Linked DNA regions of Kluyveromyces lactis. The protein of the gene in region 2 purifies or fractionates together with the protein of the main gene of each other region. This does not show direct contact. Links are inferred from orthologs where the notes say so. Each region holds a gene or a part of one and is shown on either strand. Other genes may lie near its edges.

Region 1 (2,791 bases), on a different chromosome or scaffold from region 2:
CATAAAATTATACTGCTACTTCTGTCTTACCGTCAAGCGCATTCTGGCTCATTGAAGGTATATTTTAGAGACTGAACTTTACTTCATCCGAAAGTGCGTATTCAATTTGTACATTCTACACCGTTTCATCTATAAGCATTAATGAACTTTATAGTTGACGCATGTTCATTATTTTTGATTTTCCATCCATGAGACGATCTATTAAAGATGACCGAATTCACCTTTCATTGCCCTCTGTTTGAGTTCCCAAACTGCCATCTTTTCGTCTTGCGGAAGCATTGCTATATCTGAATCCTGTAGCTGTAGAACTTGCCTTAGAAGATCCACTTTCTCTTCGTCTAATCCGTCTTCCACTGTGTTATCAGTCTGTTCCTCTGGCCTTTGTTTACTCGCCATAGCCAATTGTGTCAATTGGTCCACACTGCACACACCGTTACTCAACAGGAGTTCCGCAATAGCATAGCTCAATTGAGGTGCCTCTTCTAGGAGTGCTACGAAAGTTTCCTTGTCGTCTTTACAGAAATGTTGGATTACTTTTAGTAGAGCCATCTGTTGGTCCTTTTGTAGCTTCCCCAATTCACTACTGATACACATTGCTGGTGTAGTCATATTGATGTTAACGTCCACCCCTACCGGGAGCCATGGGAACTTCACATCCTCAACCATGTTTCCATTCTCCTCTTCATCTCCGGGGCCAGATCCGCTGCCGTTTATGCCACTACCGGTGGTGTATCCGCACTTTAACGATCTTGAACCCAATGTATACCCGTTCAAGTTTCTAACTGCACTTGCCGAAGTTGCCAAATCTTTGAATTCAATAAAAGCATAACCCTTAGATTTACCCGTCGTTGGGTCAAACATCATCTTCATTGCCGTTACTGGTCCTATCGTCTGACATAGGTCTAATATTTGTTGTTCTGTTTGGTCATACGGTATCGAACCTAAATAAACTGTGCGCGATGGATTTCCCCTGTTCATTGCTTTTTAACTATTTCTATGATTGAAATTGGTTGCACCAGGTTATTTTCACAGCTAGCTGTCTGGTGGAAGTCTGTCTTACAAGTCCTTCGATGCTCTTAGCGGTACTTTATAAGTGTAATAAAACTCAGATATGGCTTTATTGTTCGATTCTTCAACTTTCGTCATCAACTTCAATTCTAATTTTTTTTTCAATGTTCGAATGAAATGAAATTAGAATTGAAAACTAATTAATGACTTCAAACAATCAACACTGTCCATTGTCCAAATGGTGGATTTCAGCAGGTCCTAACTCATTAGAATCTGTTGAGAGCAATATTTGCTGTGTATTATTAACATTCATTCTTCATCTTCGAAAGAAATTGATCCTGGAATATAGATAGAAACTGAGATATCTTCTGCGGATATGGAAACCAAGGACGTTTTAGAAGCCGTCAAAGGATTAGAGAAGAACAAAAATAATAATGATGTTGTGTTCAAGATTCTACAGTCATTAGATAAAGATTTGAAAGATGTTAATGAGAAGCTTCTTAGAGAGACGAAAGTAGGGGTCGTAGTCAACCAATTTAAGAAATCTTCCAATCCAGACATCGTCAAATTGGTGAAGAAGATGATTTTATCCTGGAAAGATGCTGTGGCTCGTGAAAAGAAAAGCAAACTAAGCAGCAATTCCTCATCTACAAGTAACAATAATGGTACAAGCGGTGGAGAAGCAGTAAAGAAGGAGAAATATGTCAGCAAAGCTCCAAGAAATGCTAAGAACGACGGTGTGAAAACGGATATATATGGTGTCAAGATTAGAGATATGGCTATTAGGGCATTATATGATGCATTGGCAAAAGAAAGTGAACATCCTCCAGTAGCTATCCTAGATACAGTAATGAGTATTGAGACAGAAATGGCTAATCTGTTCAATCCCGAGTCTGACGAAAAGGGATATCGTGACAAATACAGAATAATTTACTCAAATATAATCTCCAAGAACAATCCAGATTTGAAACATAGAATTACGAATGGAGAAGTATCAGCCAAACATTTAGTGACTGCTGATCCTAAGGACTTGGCACCGGAACATTTAAAGAAGAAAATTGAGGAAATTGAGAAACAGAATTTGTTTAATGCACAAGGTGCAACTGTAGAAAGATCAGTAACAGATAGATTCCAATGTGGCAAATGTAAACAAAGAAAAGTATCATACTACCAACTACAAACAAGATCTGCGGATGAACCTCTTACTACTTTTTGTACATGTGAGAATTGCGGTAATAGATGGAAGTTCTCGTAGTTGAAATTCTCACTTTGAATTTTACGAAGATAGCCTTGGCATATGATACACTAAAGCAGCATGATGATGGCAGTGATCAAGCACTAAAACTCTTTCGTTATTTCATTGCTAGCTAGATGTGTACACATAGCATCCGCCAATTCTACATCATACATTCTTCCGGCTAACTAGTATTTCATGTATAAATGACCAAAGTTGTAATATCACAATTAAGAATCGTATCTATGGTAAATACTCTACAGATGGTGTTGAATTCATTGTAGTTCGATTTGTTTATATATTGCAAGCTCAAATGAAAATAGTCGGTGCTCACCTTCAATTATTACCTTCAGACTCCTGTTCGATAACAGTCCATCATGTTAAGGTCTGAAATTTTATCAACTTCAAAAAAATGTGAAAGCGCAATTATCTTTCCGCTTGCATACTAAATTAAGAAAATATAGAATATCCGAGACCTAACCGGTCCTGTTGCTGTGGAACTTCAATAATCCTCATATAGAAAACATGTTATCGCGTTCTGTATTCCGT
Region 2 (2,794 bases):
TTTTACTCAGTACAAAAATAACAAATAATAATGATACAAAGCCAATACCTTCCCAACCTTCACTTACTATCGCTCTGGAATAGATTCATGAGTTCGTTATTTGGAAAAAACGGTGGCGGAACACAGCTTTCACTACCTAATCCTGTTCTATATTGCATGCCTGGTAATGTTATTCTTGGATTACTGCGAACTATCAGAGCGTATGAAAGAAATAAAGTGTTGGTTTTGGTCGTAATGTACATTAAATCATCATCATACTAAGTTAGTTTATATTTTACTATATAGATTATCGTCGTTTCTGTTTGACGAAGAAGGAACAGAACGACGACAAGAGAATTCGTGTTAATAGTATCCTAATCCTTCTATAATCCCTAGGAGAAGAAGTTCAGTTATATGTTTCTTGGTGGCCTGTATATCGCATTCTTACCAAATAAGTTCCTAATTATACTTCTGCCAATATTACGTCCTGCTTGTCTGCAATATTGTAACCATGGCTTGGCAACGATATAAAATAACGAGAGAAAGACACCCTGCAAAAATGGACTTATCAAAATATCTCTAGCAACAACTTTTGCAACGATATATGGTGTAATGGGAGGATCTACGACAGATCCATCAGCCACCGATAGAGTTAATTTATTCTGTTTCAAAGCTTCTTTCCTCAAGGACTGCTTAAAGGTCTGTTCAAATCGCAAATCTGGCAATGACGCCTTTACTGAAACTTTCTCATCCACACGGGCAATTCCTTTAGGCATGGTAAAAGGCTGATTATCTGTGGATAACTCACCTTATTTTAAATTCGGTGATGTGTAATTGTACTTGATATTTCGCCTATTGCGTGGGATCAGCTTTCTAATATGTTCAAAAACCGATTTGAAGGTCCTACAAAGAAGAAATAATGCTAATAAGAAAGAAATGGGGCCACTATTGTTCGAAGAAGTTAACTATAGGTAATAAAGGCTATATATACATGACTCCGAGCAATATTATTCTTAGCTGAGCCTATTTGAAACAGTATTGATGGAATAGTCCTATGCACGTGACCAAACGCTGCCAAAGCTCAAAAATTTTCCAACTGAACAAAAGTGAAAAATTCATAAAACAATAATCGAATGCACCAAGGGAACGAGAACAAATCATTTCGTTGCTGTAGTTTGGTCAATACTCTGGTATTTGATTGAGCAAGGAGCAGGTCATATCTTAGGGAGAAATCAGAGTTTAATACTGCGAAAGAACAAATGAGCGAAGAAGGTCCCCAAGTAAAAATTAGAGAAGCAACCAAGGACAACGTTGACTTTATACTTTCTAATGTCGACTTGGCTTTAGCAAACTCGTTACGTAGAGTCATGATATCTGAGATTCCTACACTAGCCATCGATTCTGTTGAGATTGAAACTAATACTACTGTGTTGGCAGATGAATTTATTGCGCATAGACTTGGGTTAATTCCATTACAAAGTGCAGACATTGATCAAGTTGTATACTGTCGTGACTGTTACTGTGAAGATCACTGTGACCGTTGTTCAGTAGAGCTAATACTACATGCTATCGGTGAGAGTGAATCCACGACGAACGTTTATGCTAAGGATTTGCAGATTACCAGCGATTTGAAGGGTAGAAATATTGGCCATCCAATTATACAAGACAGAGAAGCAAATGGTGTATTAATCTGTAAACTAAGAAAGGGACAAGAGATAAGAGTGAAATGTATCGCTAAGAAGGGTATTTCAAAAGAACATGCGAAATGGTCACCATCAGCAGCTATAGAGTTTGAATATGATCCATGGAATAAGTTAAAACACACAGATTACTGGTACGAACAGGATGCAAGGGACGAATGGCCTCAATCTAAGAATTGTGAATTTGAAGATCCTCCTAACGAAGACGAGGATTTCGACTACAGGGCCAAACCTAATACATTTTACATAAACGTCGAGTCTGTTGGTTCCATCACTTCGGAACAAGTCGTCGTACGTGGTATCAAAACTTTACAGGATAAAGTAGCCGACATATTATTCTCATTAAAGAAGATGGACCAAGAGAAAGTTAATTTCGCAGCAGGAGCTGTATCTACGCACGTATCACAACAAGTGCCGATGGAAGAAGATATGGATCCTTATGGAGGGCCAGTAGGAGGCTCAGGATACGATGATGCATGGTGAGACAAGACAACAAGAAAAAGCTACCACAATTATCGTGAAAGGCAACGATTTTTCTATAATTCATTGACGAAACACAAGGCATATATTCCTTAATACTAGCATACTCAAAGGCACTAGCAGCATCTGCTACCATCCAATCTACCACGTCCGTTCAAAAGTTGAACGGTCAAAAATGTTTCAATATCTCTATCTCTATATAGAATGTTTATTTCCATCGAAAGTGTAACTATTAGACAAAGACTGGAAGCTAAGCGTGTTTCTCATGGTTCCATTGGACACAGTCCTCGAACTTTACAAGGGATCCACCAAAAATATCAAGAGCACTACCAAAGGTCAAATCAATTTTGCCATGACTCAATTTCTCTACTAGCCTTAAATCATCCACACTCTTAGCGCCGCCTGCGTATACGATTTTCACTTTTGGAATATCCGCAGTCCATTTGTACAAATGAGCCACTAGCTCTTCATCAATCCCATTACATAGACCCTCTACATCTGCTGCATGAACCAAGAATTCATCGGTATATTGACAAAGATCAGCGAAAGTTCTTTCGTTTAGCTCCAAATCAGTAAGGGTCTGCCATTTATTCATAGCAACGACCCACTTTGGCTCTTGATCCGGTTTCGTGACA

Evidence for each region. Proteins that work in one complex are often made in the same cells at the same time.
Region 1: the proteins of RPB3 (region 2) and DST1 purify together in Saccharomyces cerevisiae (affinity purification with mass spectrometry, with the first as the bait; 4 studies listed by BioGRID). This does not show direct contact. The link is inferred for Kluyveromyces lactis from reciprocal best matches to the Saccharomyces cerevisiae genes RPB3 and DST1.

Annotation. Positions count from the first base shown.
Region 1 is NC_006042.1:863,897-866,687, reverse strand, and holds DST1 (transcription elongation factor DST1), read left to right. Parts: upstream 1-1,384; coding exon 1,385-2,263; downstream 2,264-2,791. Other genes in the region: RNA15 (Rna15p), read right to left, coding at 202-978; DPC13 (Dpc13p), read left to right, coding at 2,768-2,791. UniProt on the Saccharomyces cerevisiae protein: Necessary for efficient RNA polymerase II transcription elongation past template-encoded arresting sites.
Region 2 is NC_006040.1:1,362,177-1,364,970, reverse strand, and holds RPB3 (DNA-directed RNA polymerase II core subunit RPB3), read left to right. Parts: upstream 1-1,238; coding exon 1,239-2,162; downstream 2,163-2,794. Other genes in the region: KLLA0_D16192g (uncharacterized protein), read right to left, coding at 390-755; 1-(5-phosphoribosyl)-5- ((5-phosphoribosylamino)methylideneamino)imidazole-4-carboxamide isomerase HIS6, read right to left, coding at 2,410-2,794. UniProt on the Saccharomyces cerevisiae protein: DNA-dependent RNA polymerase catalyzes the transcription of DNA into RNA using the four ribonucleoside triphosphates as substrates. Component of RNA polymerase II which synthesizes mRNA precursors and many functional non-coding RNAs.